Linked DNA regions of Arabidopsis thaliana. The protein of the gene in region 1 interacts with the protein of each later gene in a biochemical or structural test. Each region holds a gene or a part of one and is shown on either strand. Other genes may lie near its edges.

Region 1 (5,808 bases):
TCGATACAAAATATTTGCATCACTACTTTCAAAAGTCACTTTTTTTAGTGATGTAAATGTTTTTCTTGCCATCAATTATAAGTTTATAACTAATAAAAATATATAAAATAAATGATGTAAAAACACACATTTTTTTTGTAGTGATTGTACTTGATTAGTACTCAAATCATTTTGTCATCACATCAATCAAGTGTATATGCCTAAAATTTTAAAGAGTAGATTAATTAATCTCAAAACTCTTTCATTTGGTGGTTAAGTGAATTATTTCCGGCGAATGGGAGGAAATTCTTGATCATTAAAGATTATTTTCAATCACTCGTCAATCTATCCCTGCTTACGAAGAAGGGATTTATAGGGTGGAATGGGTTAACGAGTTTGAAGACCAGAACGTGTGGTTTAAAACATAACAGGGGCTGAGATCATAGAAAACATAATTCACGACAGAAACACATGCTCTAGCTGCGTTATGGACGGGCCGGGACTGCATAAAACTATTTGTTTCGGGGATAGTTTTACTTGTTATGTTTGGCTTGTGTGTATTTTTTGGTGTCGTGAATGTTTGATGTTATTTTAAATAGAGAGATAGAAGGAGAGGCCTTTGTTTCATGCTCTGACGTGACAGTGGGTCTCCTGCCTGCGACTGGTGATCACGGCAAGATGATTGGTCCGGCAAGGATGTGTCAGGTGTCCTAGTTTTCTTAAAACATTATAAGTATAGATCTTTGGCTCATGTAAAGACTTGGAAAACCTTATGTTTTGAGCAATGGAGTGTTTGTTCTTTTTGGAATTACATTGTTGTAAGTTTTCAAAGGTTGGACTTGAGATGTAAGTGGAAGTTTCCACAGTTGTAACTTTTGAAACATCTGCTTTATATAAAATAGTACCACTTTTTTGGAAAAAAAGACAAAAAAGAAAAGACTTGGGAAACCTTATGAATGTTAAAAGTGTTGCCACTTCAATACAAACATCGTACTTAAAAATACAAGTAACCACTTGGGCCATTACAAAGTAAATCAACCATCATATATATATACACAATCACGATGAATAATGTTTTTTGAGTATATTAATGAGAAAGCTTGTATGAGATGATCAAGATGATGGCGAGAACGAGAGCCACGATTACCGATGTAATGATCCATTTGTTCCTAGTCATTCTCCTTGACATAGCCGTCAACACCTTCTTGCTCTTGTCAATGGCGTCATCCACACCATGAAGCTGTGATTCAAAATCAGAAAAGTTAGCTTCTCAATGATCTAATTCAAACAAATCATTGGCACTGATAGATACCAAACCGAGCAATTGTAGACGGTACCTTGTTGTGCGCATGAAGGAGGGTTTGGCGTTGCTGACTCAAATCTTGGACAATTGAGATGCCAACCTCTTCTGTCTCCAGCATTAGTCTTCTACTCTCCCTGATTCTGTCACTTGATTGGTCAAGCCTCTCCACGGACATTGCCAATCTTCCTCTTTGATCAGCAGATACCTGGAACATGGACAATAATGTAAATCACAGCAAAGTCTTTGCCATCTAAAAGTTTGTGTGAAGATGAATATAAAGGAGGGTCCCCTCAGGACAAAGAAGCCTAACTGATGCAAGTCAATTAAGACAACTAAGATAATGAGAAAACAAGAGTTTCTATTTAGGAGTTAGAAGCTTACTGCATGCAGATCCGCCATTCCGGATTCCATCAACTCTTCACGGGAAGACGGCTTAGCATCTGCGGAAGAGACTCGTTTGAATTCCTTCTTCAATTGGTTCAGATCAGATTTATACTCTCTTAGTTTAGAAAGACACACAGCTTTAGCACTCGGCTGCAAACTTCTTGCCTCAAGATCCATTTTCCGGATCTACAAAAAAACCACAGAAGCATATATATTAATTTTAAAAAAGAAAGAACAGAACGGTAACAACATTAAAGCAAGTTAAATGCAAATACCAAGACATCAGCTTCGTCTATTCCAGACTTGATCTCAGCAATCTTCCCCTTCTTCTCCTCTATAAAAGCACACAACAATATCTAATCAAACCTCTACTCTGGTTCTATGGCACCACAAAATGTAACAACTCCATGCATGTCTATGTACTATAACTCCAAGAAAGACAGTGGTAACCATAGACTGACAAACAAATGAAAAAAAACACCAACTCAATAAACCTCTGCAGCTACATAACTAGGTTCTTATGATCTTATCTTCAGTCTTAATTTCTTCACAAAACTACTTGACCAATCCAAGTAAATTACATTCCCAGATACTACAGAACTCGTCAGATCGTAAACAAGCTAAAACGATTAGTAAACACTCATGCACCTCTACTTTACAAATACCCCCAAATTCGGACAAAATTAGATGAAATAGATTGAGAAACAAGTTAATAAATCTATGCAACTACATAACTATCTAGACCTAACTAGGTTATCGTCTTCTAATCCAAGCAATGAGAAACAGATCCTATGTCTCAACATTCCTAAATGTTACAAAACTTCGTCAGATCCTAAACAAGTCAGGACGATTAGTAAAGAACACTAGTCCACCAGCTACTTGTCACAGCTCAAAAGCTCCAATAACCCCAAATTCGAAGATTCGAATTTCTAAAATCAGGTAAATTCGAAGATCTCGCGTTCAAGATCCGAAATCGGGAGCGTCTGGATTTTACCTCCGTTGGAGAGAACCGATGCAGAGTGACATTTTCTAGAGAGATTGGTTGAGAGCTCGCAGTATTGACGCTCGTACCCTTCAAATACGTCGCTCATCTTCAATTATATGTTTCGATCTTGAGAAATTTGGTGGATTTTTTCTGATCAATCGGATCCTTTGTTTGATTGGATTGGATCGGATCTAGAAGCAAAACAGTTTCCTCTTTGCTTAAAGATAATCAAACAACTCTTCTTCTTCTTCCTTTGTATTTCTCTGCTCGGGGACAAGGAGGAACAATCAAACAAAGCGGTGCGTTTTATATTGACACGTGTCAGCCACTGCGTATTAAGTCCCCCATGCTGCAATCGATGCAAATGTAGGTGAGACAAACCAAACCGAATCAAACCGTTAATTAAGATTGAAATCTAAGTGTCTTTTCTCACTTTTTCAGCTCTCGGAAATAGTGTACATTTTATGCAGAACCAAGATTACTCGTCCAGGAAATAGACAAATCCATTGATAGAAGTCGAATCTGTTTTGCGTAACTATGTGGGATTCTTTGATAGTCTCATGAAATCAAAGAGATCTCAGAGGCTAAGAGTAAGATAGTCCACTCGAGTAAAAATGGGGGGAACAAGCAGAGATTCTCAAACTATATTAGCCAGGTGAAGAGAACCAACAGATATTATTAGAAATTCCACTTGGGATTGTTCGTGTTACATCACATTCATCGACTCAGTCATTATATTCTACAAGAGTACAAGGTAAACATAAAAAGGATCCTTTGGGCTCTTATAGCTCATTCTTGACCTTTGCATCCCCATTTGGTAACACACTTTGCGATTGCGCCAACCGTTTCGCTTCCTGAATATGACCAAAACTGTTTAATCCCCTTGACTTACTATAATATATTAATGAAGATGTACAATACTAGTCGAAGTTAACAACTTACAGCAGCAGAACTAGCACGGATTTCTCTATACATATCGACTTCATCAGGGAAATTCTGTTCAAGCTCCTCCAGAATATGTTTTCTCAAATCCTATTTATAACAAAATGTTGATTAAGAGACTCAGTAACCTTAAGAATCATACACAAATTAAGAATCAGAAGAAAAGGAGTCACCTTAAAAGCATCAGTCTTGCCCTTAGTAACTTGATTTCTAGCTATGCAGCTATTAAGAACATCTTTCGTAAACTCATCCGGGTTCTTCCCATCATCAATCAAGCTATACGAAAACGCAAACATAAGTAAGCAAGTAAAAGTATCTATCTTCAAAGTGCATACTAAAAACAAAAAGGACTTGTTTTCTCACTTAAGAACCTCCATGGGGATTTGAATGTTGCATTTCTCAGACAACTTAGTCATGTTATCTAGCTCCATCACAAGAGAGTTACTGCAAATACACACACACACACATATTCATTCAAACAATAGTTACAATACCCAAAACAATAAACACAGATGAGTAGAGGAGTTACTTACAGGCGCTGGAGGAGATGGAGTTGAGACGCGGGTGTGAAAGAAGTGACGGTAAGGTGTAACTGATGAAGGACTCCTAAAGTTTTCTCAATAGAGTTTATGACTTGGGAAAGATTCTCCTTTGAATCATCAGCAACGGTCACAGTTGAAGTCCCATCATTGGTTTGATATCTGATTGTACCATTGCTCCCACCAATCCCTGCACTTGTGTTCTGTGTTGGATCCATCACAAGCTGCCACAAAATATAAACTTGAGATATATGACCTGATGCGTTAGCGATAACAAAACAAAAACGAGAAAACGCAATTTTCGATCTCAAAATCAAACGAAAATTCTTCAGAAACCTTATTCAATTGGAGTGGATTTTGGTATCCAAATTTCTAATTTTAGATGCAAATTCCACAAAAACGCCCAGATCAAGAATAACGATAACAATAACAATTAGCGTAGAATGAAGATCCGTGACTTACCTACAACAGAGATGCGTTTGGCGAGAGTGAGGTGGAGATTCTCCGGACGAATTAGGTTTTCCTCCGAGCCTTACCGTGAAAACCGAAAAGGGACCGACGAAGACAGGGAAGCGGAAGATATTTGGACACTTTGCTGACGTGGAATATCATTATCTTGTATCTGTTTCGTTCATACTTTTATTTCATTCTTCATCAGCTGTGTTAAACTGTTAATGATCTTCTAAGTTCTAACATGTGATTATTAATATTTAAAATAGAAATGGCAGATTTAACAGAGTGCGATTCACTATTCACCCCCACAACAATAGTCATTCTATAAAGTTTTGATTGCTTAATCGATATGTTTATCTAACACCAACAGTTTGGTCCATTCCGGAGAAAGAGTTAGTATTGAACAAACTAAGTTAATTCTCTGCTTTAAAAACTCAAAACAGTAAGCAGAACAAATCGAGAAGATAAGACTGCAAGAGAAAATCCTCAACTTTCCACTAGGTAGTGTACTAAAACGCACGTTGCCGGGATGACGGATTCTCTTCAGGAAGATTGAGTATTTGCTGAATCTGGTAATGAGCCTGCAATGGTAATTTAACATTAATACTTATCCGATGACACTTTCATATATCCGTCTGATGCAGGGTTCCTACGCAATAGTGATTTTCTAGTCCAATTCAACCTCATAAGACAAATGATTGACTACTATCACAAAGCAAGATAAGAACTTGAACTTACCAGTTTGATGCGCCCTTTGATCTGCGTAATAACACCAGTATACTCTTCTAGTTGTCTGTTAAAAACAAAAAAAACCACATTTATATTGCATCAACATTCAGTCACTATACTGCATTCCACCGGAGAACTCATTCATCATATACAATGATACAACCATATTTTCCTTGTACATGGAGCAAGAAAACTAGAAAAGCAAAGATTTCTCTTACTTTTGAGTTCTTTCCTCCCTTTGTGCTATATAGTCAAGAGCTTCTTGCCGTGTGAACTCCACATAAAAGCCGAGGCCTACATCCATGAATATGTGCCGAGTATCTGGCCTGAACTCAAACAAACACCCAAGTCAAGTGAAACGAAATCAGAAGCAAACCTGGTAGAAAGCATCTCCTATTTTAATCCCCATTTATTAAACGTTTTCTGCTCAATAATACATAACTAGCTTCTAACATACAGAACACAGTAAAAGCACACTTCTTAATTGCATTAAG
Region 2 (8,949 bases), on another chromosome or scaffold:
GAGAGATTCTTGGTTTTGACACTTACGAGGAAGAAGAGAAGCGGTACGCTACCTCGTCATCAGATAGAGGTGAGACATGGAAGTTTTCAGTTGTAACATCTTTGGGAAATGTCAAATCAATAACTAAATATATGTTTTATCCTTTTCAAGAAGTGAGCAGCAGTAGCGTCTATCGTAATCAACGGGTGGCTAAAGATGATCCAGAACAGAGAGAGGACCTGATTGTTGAAGTCATAACACCTGAGGTTTATAATGAACCAAGAAACCCCTTTTCGCGGATCTGGTCACGATCTTTGAGGATCAAAATCATCGGACGCGATGGGTTTGAGAAACTCGATGTCAGAATTCCGGTAAGTCCACTTTCGAGGGCCATTTTTCGTGTTTTATCTGAGCTGATGCAAAACTTGTCTTATGGTTGGAACAGGCCGGATTCTTGGAAGGTGTCACAAACATTGTTCCAGGTATTCAAAAACTCCTAAGTCTCTCTTATTCTGTTTCAGTTTTCTTAGGCATAGTTATTGACAGATCCTCAAAAAATTCGCAGCTTTAGGAGGCGTGAACTTGAAGCAATTGATGGACGATGCAGCAGATGAGGTCGGAGGGAAAATTTTGTTAGATTTTAAAGACACTGCAGGTGACAGAATCCAAGTCTTTCTAGAATGACACACACCTAGTGAAGAAAAAGTAAATACAGCCGGGAAACATTTAAAAAGAGAATACAAAAATGTAAAGATTTTATTTGTTCCGTGAATGAGAAATGTATTACACATCTTCAAAATAAAGAAATAGAAGTGAATGTGTATATATCAAATTATATGCATATAACAAAAAAAGGGCAGACCCGAGCAAGGTTTGCCACTCTCACACTGGTACAAATTTCACAACAAGCTCTCAATTTGGTCCAAACCAGAAAAAAATAAAAATGAATGATGAGTGACGAGTAAGGCAAGAACAAACAGAGAAGAAAATTCGTGGAGCCGTGTTGCCTGGATGAATAATGTAACCTGAGTACTTTTATCGACTGATATTACATATCCCAGAGTAAAGAAAAAGCACAGGCGAGCGTATTCTTGATTACACGAATGAAGTCAAGTGCATCATGTTTGGCTTGATCTTACCGGTATCCACCACCATAGGATTGTTGAGGGTTGTAACCACCTTGACCCATCATCGGATTGTAGTTATTGCCAGGCATGTTTGGGCTAGGTACCATCCCTGGGTTTTGTGGTTGCATCGGATAGCCTTGGCCATATCCTCCCATGTTCATGTTCATGTTCATGCCGGGTCCCATTCCCATACCCATCGGTTGGTTTTGGTTCATTCCGGCCCCCATACCCATACCCATGGGTTGGTTCTGGTTCATACCTCCGTAGCTACCAACACCCATTCCTCCGCCCATGGGCATGCCAGAGCCTGTCATTGGATTAGGTGGAGGTCTCATAGCAGTTGCACCAGAACGCCCTAAGCCAGTGCCTGATCCCATGGCTTTACCCATATTGATAGTCGATGTTGCTGGTGTGTTTGTTTGTTTCTCCAGCCGTTTCTCTCTCCTGTTGATCGCCTCGAAGTCAACTCCTATGTCTGCCAATGGATTTGTTTTAGCTGCGATAAGTAGAAAAACAAAAACAATGTTAGAAAGTTTGCTAAAGACGTTTTTTTTTCCTTAAATGGTATGGTGAAATCTATCTTACATCCAGATATGTTAAAGTTAACAAGCCCCCTGCTCAACGTGTCTGCCCAGACTGATGATTTTGGCTCAAACTTTTTCTGAGGCGGAGGAACAATCTCAATTGCTCCTGTTAAAGGTGTGAGATCTGGATGAGATGATGATGACGTCAAGGAGTTGGGCGTAGCTTGCGAGAACATGTCTCCCATGACATTGTTGTTCCCTTGCAGAGTAACAGGTCCGGATTGAGTTCGTTGTGGACCATGGGATGGCGGCATTCCATGACCTTGGTGTGCCATGAACTGACCAGCTGGTCCACTTGGGGTAGAGTAAGGAGTTTGTGAGCCCGGCTGGTGCATGAAGCCTCCACTATTAAATGGCATGGCTCCAGTCATATTTTGAGAATGAGGAACCATGTTATATGGTTGAACAGCTTGTCCAAATGGAGTTTGTCCAGGCAGGTTTGGAGCTGTAGATACCGGCGGCTGAGAATGAAATCCCTCGTACATGTTGTTTCCACTGGGAGGAAATTGAGATGTTGGTATTGAGGGACCCGATTGTACTGGAGGTCCAGATGGTGGGAGAATGCCAGCGAGGATATCAATACCACTCTGAGATGTAGCAAATTGCTCTTGAGGAAAACCTGGTGAGTTCGATGGAGGTTGCACATTCTGAGAAGCAGGATCAGGATTGGCAACGGCGGAAAATGAGTCCCCAAAGCCAAAGTTATGAGCAGTATCAGGATGTGAGACCTCTGAAGTGAAGGCTGGAGGTGGTGGCTGGAAAGAAGCTCCAAAATTCTGCTGTGGGGTTGAGTCGGTGTCAGTAGAAGTGAAGGCCTTGAAAGGAGAGTCACCAAATGGGTCATCAAATGACTGCATAATCCAAACAACAGTCATCAATAATCATAGGAAACCATCATAATCTTCATACTCCAAGCTCAGTGTATATACCTGAGTTGATGGCTGAGATGTAGAAAACGATGGAGCTGGACCAGCGTTTGCTTGTCCATTGGTTTCAACATAGATAGAATCAGCTGGTACAATGGCCAATGCGTTTGATGAAAATACGTCTGCAAGGGAACCAAGCAAGTCCATCTCAACACTGTTTGAGGTGGTAGGGGCAGACATAGAAGTCACAGTTGGAGGAGCTGTAACACCATCTGTAGATGCATATGCTGGAGGGCCAGCTGGAAAAGTAAAGGAACACAACGGCCACACTCAGAACAAGCAGAGTTTAATGGGATAGAAATATACCATACAGACATGAGAATACAATCATACACCCTCCAACTAAGCCTTGAAACATTTACTGAATTAGTTATAGTTATTGATTAAAGATTTTCATGTAATCTCTATGCTGCCGAGGAGTTTGAAAAACTAAGAAAATATCTCAAGATACAACTAAAGAATTGCAAGAGTTTGAGTATTCTGTACCTGAAAACGCACTGCGTGGATCAAATTCATCGAAAGTCTCAACTTTCTGAGAAGGTGATTCATTAACAAAAGTAGCAGTTGTATTGGCTGTGTTGGTTCCAGTTGGAGGAGAAGCAGCCTCTGGAGCAGCAACTTGTGGGGGAGGAGGAGAAGCAGCTCCTGGAGCGGTAACTTGTGGGGTCTCCCCACCATCCCTGGCATAGAAAGATTCATCAGCACCAATAAAAACCAAGGTAGCTTTCAATTTTCAAAGCAGAAAATGATCACCTTTCACTATATACAGGGCTGCGTGAATCACTGACAGCTTCTTCATAACTGGGTGGAGCGCCAATATTTTGTTCAGAAAACTTCCTCTGGAGCCCCCCTCTACCATTATAATCCCGAAAGAAGGTGAGATGAGTTGTCATACAATAAAAGAATGCCTAAACTTCAGTAGAAATTTATCAGAAATTACCTCCCATCCTGAGAATTATCATCAGCTCGAGCACCACTGCCCCTACAGGACAAAAAGGAGTGTATCCATTTAAAATTTGAAAATGGAACTAGACTAAGAAGATTGCGGTTCGAAATGATTTTTAAAATCAAGGACATCTACGCTAGTATTCAAAATAAAAATATTCTATCCAAATGGAGTTGATAATCTTCAAAATTTTCCCCTTCCTTTTTTATTTCAGGATTTAGGCGACTTGAAATTTAACATACCGTGATGAAGAATGGCCATCATCCTCCCGCTCTCTTTCCGAACTCCTACCTCGTGACCCATAGTTATCAACACTTCTGCTCCTTCCCCTGTAATCATCATCCCTATTACCATCTCTCCCATACCGGTCTTCAGAGTCCCTGGAATGACGATCTCCATCACGACTATTTCTATCATCATCTCTGTAACCATATTCTCTTTCTCTTCCATAACTACTTCGCTCTTCATCCCGGCTTCCGTAATCATATTTATCCCCATATCCGCCTGAAGGCTTATACATCCCACCTGGTGCTGAGCTGCGATACCTGTTGTAAAATAATGTAGGTTGATATGTTCAGCATATTTTGAATGAACCAAAAGACATGTCATTTTTTTTTCTCGAGATAAAAACTTTCAAAATTCAGAAGCTAATACAGTTAAAGTGCCAGTACTACCAATTAATAGACTACCGAGAAGCATAATAACAATTGTAAGCCACTAGCAACAAGAAATCAAACGAGTGTCCACCGAGACTCACACAGAGAGAAAACTATCCACCAGTTCCAGAAAGATACAATGACAAGCAAACTTACTTATCTCTATTAGCAGCAGCCTTCTGTCTGACTTCAGCTATTCTTTCCTTGTCATTCACCAAAGCCACCAGGCTCTGTGATTTCTTCCTAACATTGCTTCCTTGATCTCTACCACCGGAATCAATATACTGAAAATCGGACAATGTCTGCCACAAGGAAAATAGACATATATACAAGTAAGATAGTCAACTACTGAGATATAGCACTAAAGGATTCTCTTGATGTTGAATACTTCCAAAATAATGTACTCAAGGTAGTCATTACCGAAATTTGATATGCACGTTCTCTAATCTCGTCTATAACACGTTCTGATCCATGGCCTACCATGTACTCCAAAACTGTCAAAGCCTGAAGGGGAGAGAGAAGAGGTAAACAGCATGAAATACTTTAGTCACTGCTACAGAAATTCAACACAAATTAAGCCAGCAAGACAATAATATTGTTTACCTTATAGACATGCCGCCAGTTTTTTCCGGTGTCGCTAAGGCGTTTCCATATGACCACCATGATCAGCTGATATTCATGACTGAAATAGAAGTAACATGTTTTTATAATTCCTGTGCAATGTCCAAAATCGCAGCAAAATATAGCAAGTTGGAAGGTGGTCGTAGTTACTAATTTCTGGAAGCTTGCGCAAGATCAGCAAGAAGTGATCCATGTGGACCCCATGGCTCATTACTAGTAGCATCTAGAACCTGAATAAGAGAAAGCACAGACAAAACAAGATAAGAGAAAGTTGGATATCTCGCTTTACATTGTTTAGCAAGACGATGAATGCAACCAAGATAAGCTCTCTATTTATAAAAGCCTTTTAGAAACAAATAAAGAAATTGATAAACTCAAGCATAAAAATGGAAAACAGTATCTAAATCTCTGCTGCGGAAGAATTTCTGATAAGAAGAAAAAGAGAGAAGAAGCTAAGAGCATCCATTACCTTCTGTTCTACTCCAGGAACTTTGAGCACTTTCTTGTTGACCTCTCTCTTACTGAATAAATGGAACATAAAATGAAGCATCCCGTCAATGAAAAAAGAAATAAACCACACACAGATTGAGAATATCATTAAATTTCGGGTACGAAAATACTTACAGGTCTCTAACAGTTTGTCCGAAGACTTTCTTCATCTTCGTATGTGTTCCAGGAACAAGAGTATCTTAAACAAATGTCACCTTCTATGGAGTCTGTTGTATAACTAGTATGAGCAGCTTATCTATTAACGTTTCAAACAAAGATATATATATATATCACCACAAATGTATAGATAGAACAAAAAGAAACAAACGAATCATTCTTCATCATAATCTCATTTCAATTACACAATCGTAAGAGCCAGATACATGGAATTGAGGAACGGCAACAAAGCAATCAGCAATGATCGAATTTGTCTTTGTTCAGATTCACCCTAAAACAATCTCAAGGAAGTGGAAAAAATCCCCAGCTCGTAACAAAATTTCCGAATTTTGCAACAATTAAAGGATATAAAGAAGAAGTCAAAATCAACAAAATCCGACTCCTAAGCAGACTAAAAATTCAAACGGTAACAATCAAAATCGAATAAAAAGGAAGATTCACATTCAAAAACGCAGCTCACACAGATCTTAAAGCTAATAACATCCCTCCACAAAATAGAATCACATCGAACAAGATAAAAAAATCAACCGGAAATTTAAAAATGGAAACAATAGATCCAGAAAAAGAATAATGAACATGAAAGAACAAAAAGAGCTAAGATCGTACCTGCAGAAATGTAAAATTTGACCAGAATCGGATCGTGGATCTGTCAAGGCACAGATAATAAAAGGAAGAAGACGAAGAAGAAACACTTTTGAAGGCTTTTGAAGGTGGAGGAGATTGATCGTGGATCTGCGTTTAGCTTTCGCACTTTGCCTCCTCTCTCTACAAAAATTCTCGAGTTTAGAGAGAGAGAGAGAGGAAAACAGCAGCCAGAAGAGAAAATTCAACAGATAAAATAAATAAATAAAAATGAAATAGTGAAAAAAAAAAAGAATAATACAAATAAGACAGCGCAACTAAACACGGAGAATATTATTAAGGCGCTCCAAATCAATATAATGTTTGGATTTGAAAAATCACAGCTGTTTAATTGAGAACAACATAATTATTACTTTGGTCTAACCAGTTTTATAAAGTTTCTATTCTCATATACAGTTTGGAAATGAGAAGATACAATATGCTTTATTCCAAAACTTTTGTTGGGACAAAATTGCTTTATGTCTAGTGGAGTTGGAAGCTACTAGACCTAATACTATATATTTCAGTACTGTTGAAATCAAATTAATTTATCAAAATTGTGTTTATTAGCTTCATTGAATTTCACTTCATCATTATCAAATTAATTTATCAAAATCAACTTAAGCATAACGATAAAGTTTGGAAGGTGTCGTTGCCAAACAACAAACAAAATGACGGTGACAAAAAAATTGGAGGCAAATTACCAAATACGTTTAGCCAATGGGCCTCAAAATCAGCTAATGCTATCCCAAAGCCCAAAGTACAACCACTCCACTTATTTCGAACCAATTCTTCAGCACTTGCTGCTTTTCATTTGCTTTTGTTTGGTTCCATGTTTCGATTAAATAGAAGAATATAAACTATAACTTTGATATTAATTCATTTCAACATTCTTTAATTTTAGTCAATGGTTTTGTATTAAGCATATAGTATTGCTCAATATTTTTTTTTTTTAAGGTTGAAACAAAAAGAGTAGGTGGAAATTAGTTGAATGAAAGTGAGTCTCTGACGTATTACATAAACACAATTATTAATGATCCAATGAGATCAAAGTGATGTGTTACTTCCACTTTCCCACCTTTTGAAGCAATGATAACTTTCTCTGGACGAACAGATCGAAACAATGTCGTGCCCAACCTAAAAGAATATGTCTTTTAACTTTGTCATTGGAACTACTTTTGTCGTTGGAACTATGTTTTAAGATAGAAAATGTTATGACTGTATATCGCATAATCCAAAGAAAGAAGAAACTGAACTTTGTTTTATATGCTAACAACTCTTTCATTACATTAACGGAAGAATAACAAAATAGAAAATGTATGCACAACAATTAAATTACCAAAACCCATTTTTTCACTTAACAACAAAAGGGAACAAAGAGGAGTATGATACGATCTAAAAGGGTCTTGGAAACAATTTGACTTGACGAAGACGCAAAGATAATGATGCACAAGTGGAAGATGAGCGACATTGAAGAAGAGGAAGTGATGTGGATCGTTGTTAGAGATGTTTTGTTTCTGATTTCCACGCCACGATCCTTATTTGGTTCACTTCTTCTTCTCTTTGACTTTGACCCTTCCTTTATTTCATTTTTTAAAAGAAAACCTGTGAAAGAAGAAATTCCGATTTTATTTAGGGCACAATTATTAAAACGGATTATGAGGTAAAGGTATAAGTATAGGACTTACTTGAATAATGGGGAAATTTTGTTGAATTTGATGAGCCTAGTAATGTGTGGGAGGTGGGGGAGAAGCGTAGATGTAGACAGGAGGTGGGGGAGATTTTACCGGTGGTGGTGGAGAGCTGTAAAGGTATGGTGGTGGTGGGGATTTCACCGGAGGAGGTGGGGAGTGGTAATAATATGGAGGAGGAGGAGATTTCACAGGAGGAGGAGGTGAATGGTAGTAGTATGGTGGTGGTGGGGATTTCACCGGAGGAGGTGGTGAATGGTAGTAATATGGTGGTGGTGGGGATTTCACCGGAGGAGGTGGTGAATGGTAGTAGTATGGAGGAGGAGGAGACTTCACCGGAGGAGGCGGTGAATGGTAGTAGTATGGGGGAGGAGGGGACTTCACCGGAGGAGGAGGAGAGCTGTAAACATAAGGAGGGGGAGGGGATTTCACTGGCGGCGGCGGTGAATGATAGTAATACGGTGGTGGAGGAGACTTAACCGGAGGTGGTGGTGATTTATATTCATAAGGCGGTGGAGGAGATTTAACCGGAGGAGGTGGAGATTTATACTCATACGGTGGTGGAGGAGAGCTATAGTAATAAGGTTCGGTAGCCATAGCCGAGCCAACGAGTAACGCCAACATGGCGACTACCCATTGAGCCTTGGCATGACTCCATGCCGGAGTCGCCATTCTTCACCGGATAATGTTCAGTCTTAGCTAAGACTTTTTTTCTCCAAATTATTAAAGAAGAACAAATTGGAGAAAATGTTTTTATTTTTGAGGAAAGATGAAGAAGAAGTGATTGATTGTGTTTCTGCATGGAAAAGAGTTGTTTTTATAGTGAAAAAAGTAGTCGTTGGAGGTGGGCTTTGTTCTTTAGGGACTAATTCTATATCTTCGTTATTTTTTTCCTATAGTTTTTTTTTAATTTTGCTATTAGCTGGCAATTATTGGTTTTCTTAGTTTTATAATAAACAAGATAATAGATCAGGAAATTTCCACTGTGTGAGAAAACTAATCTCCAACCACCAGATTGAAATAAAGCCAAACTAATTCTGATTGAAAATCACACATATATTTCAATGAAACATTTTTAAATTACATGCTGCTATTCGATGCTAGTTAAGCTATGTTAATCACGATGACATCT
Region 3 (6,328 bases), on another chromosome or scaffold:
ACAGCACGTGATGTTCCTTCAAATAGGCTCTGAAAATTTCCATCAGGAAACTCTCTCTTCAAGATCGATAGCATGGATTGAGCCCCGCCTCTTCTTGATTTCCTTTTCCGCGTCACGTAATATTTTGTTAAGGAATGTAACTGTTAGAGATAAAATCTTTATTATGATAGTAGAAAAGATAGAACAATAAAGCAACAAGAGTATAAACTCAATAGAATCCTCCAAAGCTCTCAATTGCTTGGTTAGGTTTCACAAACAAAACCTAACCCTTACTTCTAACAGAACATAAATAAAAGACTCTAGGAAAAGTAAATCCTAAACTATTTCCTAAATCATAAATCAGGAAGTATTCATATCATTAACACAACTCATTGGAAGAATCAGATAAGTACATGATCGTTAAAAATATAACTGGTAGAGAGAGCAAAAAGGATATCTTGAACATATTTGCATGTTGTAGGGTTATATGAGCAATCATATCAGAGCTCACTTTCACCGCACAAATGGGACATACCTACAAGATTAACAATGTCAAAACGCAGAATTGAAAACAAATCTTGCTATTGTAGCAATAAACAAGTGTCCTAGAGTTGATTTCTTCTCTGAGGAACACTGAGTGGCAATTCCAAATACTATTTCGACGCATTTCATTAGGTTACTTTCACTTTCTTTATATCCAAGACCAGTAACTACTAAACATAGAACAGTGCTCTTACCAAGAATGATATGATGAAACAATAAATAGATTTTGATTCAAAACGAGAGAAAGGTAACATTGAGGAAATATCTACCCCATTTTTTGCATCCATAGGATGATCTTCATCAATGTGACAGCATAGAGAGACGATATCAAAATAGTCTGAACAGAACGGGCAAGCATACTCCTCCCTGAAGTCATCTTCTCCTTCTATCTCCTCAAACCCCAAGAAATTGTCTGCGTTTTTCAAAAATGAAGAAACTAGTCAAACACGGCCAAGAGAACATTCGAAAATGTGACAACTACAAAACAAAAGCCTAGAAAATAAAATGACAACTACAAAACAAAAGCCTAGAAAATAAAATGGGAAATACTAAAAACGCGTTCCATTCTCGAAGTTCCAATACAAATGGGTTTCAGAAGAAACATCAAAGATATCTAAATAAACGAATGGAAACTAGTAGATCATAAAACCTTCCCTGGCAAAGACGTCTAAGTTTGAGATGAAACTAAAGCTTTTAAAAACGTTTTTACCAACAAGAAGTTTTGTATTTACTTGTAAGTCAAACAAGAATCATCAAGATTCCAGCTTTTGACATTAAGTTCATACCAAAACCTAGAAACAAAACACACACGCTTAATCAATCCCTAAAGCCTCACATTAGTAAAATGCCTCAAAAGACAGAATTTATTTCCTCCATTTTCCTTAAATTCAATATCAGCAAAACAAACATTTGAACAATCACCATTTCAAATATTCAGAACAAGACACAATCAATGTCTTGTCCCATTTTGTTCGGAAAACCAGAACAGTAACAAAAATGTCAATCTCTTACAGTCAATCTCGATCCTTGATCAATTCAAAAGAAAACAAATTTGAGGTCTAAATATCATTGATATTTTTGCAATAGAATCAAGATTAAATTTAAGACAAAACCAATCAAATCTCAAATTAAGAAAGAACAAATCCAAGTTATAATTTTTATCAAACTCACCAGATCGAGACAAGAAATCGAGCTGATATCTTCTTGAAGCCGATGCGAGACGATCACTCCAAGAATCAGAATCCATTTTTTCTACGAAGATTATTACAAATCGAAACCAAAGAATCCACTTTTTCAACAACAACAACAAAAAATCAAATAAATTCCAAGAATCCGAATTGATCTTGAGTCCGGATAAAACAAAAACAGAGATATTCCGATTCAAGAATCAAAAGATTCCGACGAAATGCAAAGACGAAGACGACGACGACGATTTTGCGTCTTTTTTTTCTGGAATTCGTCTTTTTATCTTCTTTTTTTATTATGGTTTTTAATTCTTTGGATATAGAGAGAGAGAGAGAGTGAAAGACATAGAAGAGATGAGTTCTATTACATGTATTAAATTGTTTTTTAACAGCCCGCACGAATGCATGCCGTTTAAACCTTTTACCCGCCGTGTTTTTCCCTTTTGGAATATCAAAACGTCATGCTGTTAGTACGACGCTTACGTGTCGAAATATTATTGGTTTGTATTTGGTAAGCTGGTGAAACAGGACAAAGTTAGCCGCGCAACTGTTTTTTAACTTTTTTTTTTACTGTTTCCAAAGTTTTAAGTTTTGGGGAAATAGTGAAAAGTGAAAACCTCAATTTGCAAATCTGAGAGTTTACTTTCCTCATCGGAAAAAGTTTTGATCTCGCCGCTCTCCGAGCACTTCCTTGTCGGAGTCCCAATTTTTGTGTTCGGTTTTATTCTCGGTCGATGATGAAGCCGCGATTGTGTTCAGATCGGAGCTGATTTCGAATTTGGATGTGAAATTGAGATTCTAGGGATTTCAAATTTTGACGATCATGGCGACGAGGAATCGTACGTTGCTGTTTAGGAAGTACAGAAACTCTCTGAGAAGCGTCAGAGCTCCATTGTCGTCATCTTCATTGACGGGAACACGATCCGGCGGCGTTGGTCCGGTGATCGAGATGGCGAGTACTTCGTTATTGAATCCGAATCGCTCTTACGCTCCTATTAGTACCGAAGATCCTGGAACTTCTAGGTACTCTTCTCTCTCTTTATCAGTGAAAATGGTGAACAATTTGATCAATTAGGGTTAACTGGAAATGATTAGCTTAGCAATGAGAATGATAATACATCATTGATAGTGTAGTTGAAGTAAATGTCTGTGAGCTACGTTAAGCTGAGAGTTAGTAGTTACTGAGATATTTTTGGTCATGTTTTAGTAAAGGTGCGATAACAGTGGGCTTACCACCAGCTTGGGTTGATGTCTCTGAGGAGATATCTGTGAATATACAGCGTGCAAGGACTAAAATGGCTGAGTTGGGAAAGGCTCATGCCAAGGCGTTAATGCCATCGTTTGGGGATGGTAAAGAAGATCAACATAATATTGAGTCTTTGACACAGGAGATAACTTTTCTATTGAAGAAGTCTGAGAAGCAACTTCAGAGGCTTTCTGCTTCAGGGCCTTCTGAAGATTCAAATGTTAGGAAAAATGTGCAGGTAGTTTTGACTTGATGGAAGCTGCTCTTAACACATTTCCTTTCTTTTTGCTGCATTTGCCATTGCTATCTAAGATTTATCATGTGTGTTTAATAACAGCGGTCTCTTGCCACTGACCTCCAACTTCTTTCTATGGAGCTTCGCAAAAAACAGTCAACATATTTGAAACGCTTGAGGCAGCAAAAAGAGGTATGAAACTATTATCTATTTTAGTGTAATTGGCATTTCTTATACCGGAAACTATGTGATGTTGCAGTGTCTCATTCTTTGAAGTTTTTGTTTGCTTTCTGCTCCTCCGCCTCAAATGAAACTTCTTTACATCGATTTCATAGATGATAGATTCTTTTAGTACTTGTTTTTTCAGAGTATATTATTCTGTCCTCTCAAGAAGCTTTGACTTGAAATGTATTATCATTTATCAGGATGGGATGGATTTAGAGATGAATCTGAGCAGAAACAGATATAGACCTGAAGAGGATGACTTTGGCGATATGGTTTGACTCCTATACCTGTTTCATTCTATCGATTTAAAGCAATCATTCGTCTTATGTCTTCTTTATTGATGGAATTTTTTCTCGATTCCTTTTTAGTTAAACGAGCATCAGATGTCAAAGATAAAAAAGAGTGAAGAAGTATCTGTAGAGAGGGAGAAAGAGATACAACAGGCAAGTGCTTGCACTACGTCTTTGTTCTTAGTTGTTTGTAGCTCACCAACGTTTTTTTTTTTCTTTTGCAATCAATCATAATCTTTTTTCTTCTTCGTTGTCTGTGTCATTGTCCAGGTTGTAGAATCAGTAAACGATCTTGCTCAAATTATGAAGGATCTTTCTGCACTTGTGATAGATCAGGTTAAACTTATTTAATCCCATATTCTCTTTGTCTAGCTTTTGAGTCTTCTTCCTTTCGAAAAACAAACTCAAAGCAACCCGTTTAATTGCAGGGTACAATAGTTGATCGGATAGACTATAATATCGAAAACGTCGCTACTACTGTTGAAGATGGTCTCAAACAACTACAGAAGGTAAAAATAGTGTTCTCTCTTCAACATTAATGTCCAACTATTTGTTTGTCCCAATTCTAAATGAAGTGGATCGCATAAAAAAACTTCACAGGCAGAGCGAACGCAGAGACATGGAGGTATGGTGAAGTGCGCATCCGTGCTTGTCATCCTCTGTTTCATCATGCTGCTACTCTTAATCCTCAAGGAAATATTCTTGTGATCGGATACTATAATCCCTGGTTAGATCAATAAGAAAAGTTCGATCCTTAACTATTTCATTCTTTAGCCCCGAACATCGCATGTTTTCCTTCAGGGCTTTTGGTTTCAACTTCTTTGCATTTAACAATACTAAGATCCTTTGCAGAGTAGTTAGTACGTAATATTATTGTGTAGAAGAAGACCATAGATAGTCAGAGGTCGATGTCTGAGGAGTTGAGAGATCTGTGCACCAACGCCAAAATACTCTCTTCACGCTAAAGTCAAGTGTTCTTTTAAAATGTATAAGATTCCAGTCATAGTTGTTGGAACTTGTTTTTGACAAAATGGTTTTGACCATTGTAACTTGTGGATTTTCCGGTGAAGACGTTCATTGGAGTGACCAGATTTCGGGCAAGATGGAATCGTAGCTGCGAGCACTACATGGTGGAGTATTCAAATGTGAAAACGAGTTTGTTTGAAATCTTTTACTTTCCGGTTATTGTATCTTCGCATAAATTACAAATTCTCAACATTCTAGTTCTTTTAAAAACATATATCATTTACAAATGTATAAATATTTTTCACTTGAAACAATGAAAACTTTATACACGTTTTTGTGATGAGTTAATATGAATTAAATTACATCTCAAGTTCTCAACTCTAGTTTGAAATTGGTCATGCCAAATAGCCTAATTGAACTTGTATTGTTATTGTGTCATTATCATGGTTCAAACCCATATTATAATCATACTGTTGACAAAAATTATAATTTTAATATTAAATTTGTGTTATTATTTTTGTAGATAATTAGCTGGAGGGTTTTTAAAAGAAAAATATAAAAAAAAAATTAAATAATGATTATATCAGCGCTTAAAAAAGATAGTATTATCCTGGATAGCACATTATTTTTTTTATCTGTTTCTAATGATTCTTTAAATTACCTTTAAATATAATAAATTACATATCTAAGAATTTTTTAAAATTTATGATAATATTTTATCTTTTTTAAATGTAGCATGTATATAATAAATTTAAAACTTATATTATATATAGTGCTTCAATAAAATCCTTGAACATGTATAACCAAAAAAAAACCTCAAACAACATGTGCATGGATGTTTACCAATTATCATTTAAAATATAGTTATCTTATTTACAATGGATGTTTACCAATTATTGGTTATATATTTATTTACAAAAATAAAATGAAAAAAAGTAGTTGATGGTTTTAGTCTTTTTTTCGCAATAGGGATAATTTTATTGTTTAAGTCAAATATTACATGGATTATGAAATACCCCAGAACAAAAAAGCTACAGAAACATATTAGGCCCAACTAAAGCCCAACAGAGAAACCGTCTATGGAAGAAGAAATATTATCTTTTGTCTCTATCCAAAGCCACGTGTCTTCTGCTGGAGAGAAACCAATACACGTACTGGATGAGAATCCAAAGTTTTCCCGACTTCATCCTTCGCCGTCAAACATCGACTCCGGTGAAGATTCAACGTCGATTAACAAATCAAACATGGAATCTTATGGGTTTTCACCGGTAAAAATAATCGAAGCCCTAATTAGAGAAACAACAGCTCAAGGTAATGTTAATATGCAACGGAAATCACTTTTTTTTCCAACTCAAATCTCTGATTTGTTTCCTGCAATTCTAAACTCAAAAAGAAAAACAGGTTAGATAATAAGTAACAAAAAGCGAAAACCGCTCTATCATTATCACCAACACATCTCAAATGAGATTTATTGAAAGCAAAGCTAATTTATGAAAAAACAAAAAGCAGCAAAAGAACGCTGACGGCATAGCCGACCATCATCACTGTGAAAGCTGAATGATACCGGACAAGAGCTGGCCAACACCGGAAAGAACTGGTAATTGCCAGACGATAATCCCTATCAGAGAAGACGGTAGCCGGAAAAAAATTCGGACGGCAA

Evidence for each region.
Region 2: the proteins of VTI1B (region 1) and AT2G43160 form a complex in vitro, tested with the Arabidopsis thaliana proteins (one study listed by BioGRID).
Region 3: the proteins of VTI1B (region 1) and SYP41 form a complex in vitro, tested with the Arabidopsis thaliana proteins (one study listed by BioGRID).

What each region holds. Positions count from the first base shown.
Region 1 is NC_003070.9:9,213,052-9,218,859, reverse strand, and holds VTI1B (Vesicle transport v-SNARE family protein), read right to left. Parts: upstream 3,091-5,808; 5' UTR 2,758-3,090; coding exon 2,661-2,757; intron 2,001-2,660; coding exon 1,942-2,000; intron 1,853-1,941; coding exon 1,664-1,852; intron 1,488-1,663; coding exon 1,317-1,487; intron 1,220-1,316; coding exon 1,067-1,219; 3' UTR 850-1,066; downstream 1-849. Other genes in the region: AT1G26665 (Mediator complex, subunit Med10), read right to left, coding at 3,434-3,505, 3,594-3,683, 3,767-3,869, 3,957-4,037, 4,127-4,350; AT1G26660 (Prefoldin chaperone subunit family protein), read right to left, coding at 5,095-5,166, 5,324-5,378, 5,533-5,640. UniProt on the Arabidopsis thaliana protein: Together with either SYP41 or SYP61, required for membrane fusion; the fusion of phospholipid vesicles containing SYP41 or SYP61 and VTI12 is triggered by YKT61 and YKT62.
Region 2 is NC_003071.7:17,945,433-17,954,381, reverse strand, and holds AT2G43160 (ENTH/VHS family protein), read right to left. Parts: upstream 6,583-8,949; 5' UTR 6,112-6,582; intron 6,030-6,111; exon of another isoform or gene 5,712-6,029; intron 5,585-5,711; exon of another isoform or gene 5,556-5,584; 5' UTR 5,499-5,555; coding exon 5,464-5,498; intron 5,361-5,463; coding exon 5,309-5,360; intron 5,070-5,308; coding exon 4,990-5,069; intron 4,901-4,989; coding exon 4,822-4,900; intron 4,723-4,821; coding exon 4,639-4,722; intron 4,521-4,638; coding exon 4,375-4,520; intron 4,108-4,374; coding exon 3,805-4,107; intron 3,599-3,804; coding exon 3,557-3,598; intron 3,469-3,556; coding exon 3,370-3,468; intron 3,297-3,369; coding exon 3,103-3,296; intron 2,856-3,102; coding exon 2,620-2,855; intron 2,542-2,619; coding exon 1,692-2,541; intron 1,603-1,691; coding exon 1,115-1,602; 3' UTR 713-1,114; downstream 1-712. Other genes in the region: AT2G43180 (Phosphoenolpyruvate carboxylase family protein), read left to right, coding at 1-69, 151-350, 425-461, 545-663; AT2G43150 (Proline-rich extensin-like family protein), read right to left, coding at 7,851-8,489. UniProt on the Arabidopsis thaliana protein: May have a role in transport via clathrin-coated vesicles from the trans-Golgi network to endosomes. Stimulates clathrin assembly. Binds to membranes enriched in phosphatidylinositol 3-phosphate (PtdIns(3)P). Plays an important role in protein trafficking.
Region 3 is NC_003076.8:9,486,806-9,493,133, reverse strand, and holds SYP41 (syntaxin of plants 41), read left to right. Parts: upstream 1-2,041; 5' UTR 2,042-2,529; coding exon 2,530-2,729; intron 2,730-2,913; coding exon 2,914-3,190; intron 3,191-3,289; coding exon 3,290-3,379; intron 3,380-3,612; coding exon 3,613-3,684; intron 3,685-3,780; coding exon 3,781-3,855; intron 3,856-3,972; coding exon 3,973-4,038; intron 4,039-4,130; coding exon 4,131-4,211; intron 4,212-4,302; coding exon 4,303-4,410; 3' UTR 4,411-5,001; downstream 5,002-6,328. Other genes in the region: AT5G26990 (Drought-responsive family protein), read right to left, coding at 1-116, 437-514, 792-934, 1,693-1,768; AT5G26970 (uncharacterized protein), read left to right, coding at 5,748-6,074. UniProt on the Arabidopsis thaliana protein: Contributes to the regulation of secretory and vacuolar transport pathways in the post-Golgi network, and to the maintenance of the Golgi apparatus and trans-Golgi network (TGN) morphologies. Together with VTI12, required for membrane fusion.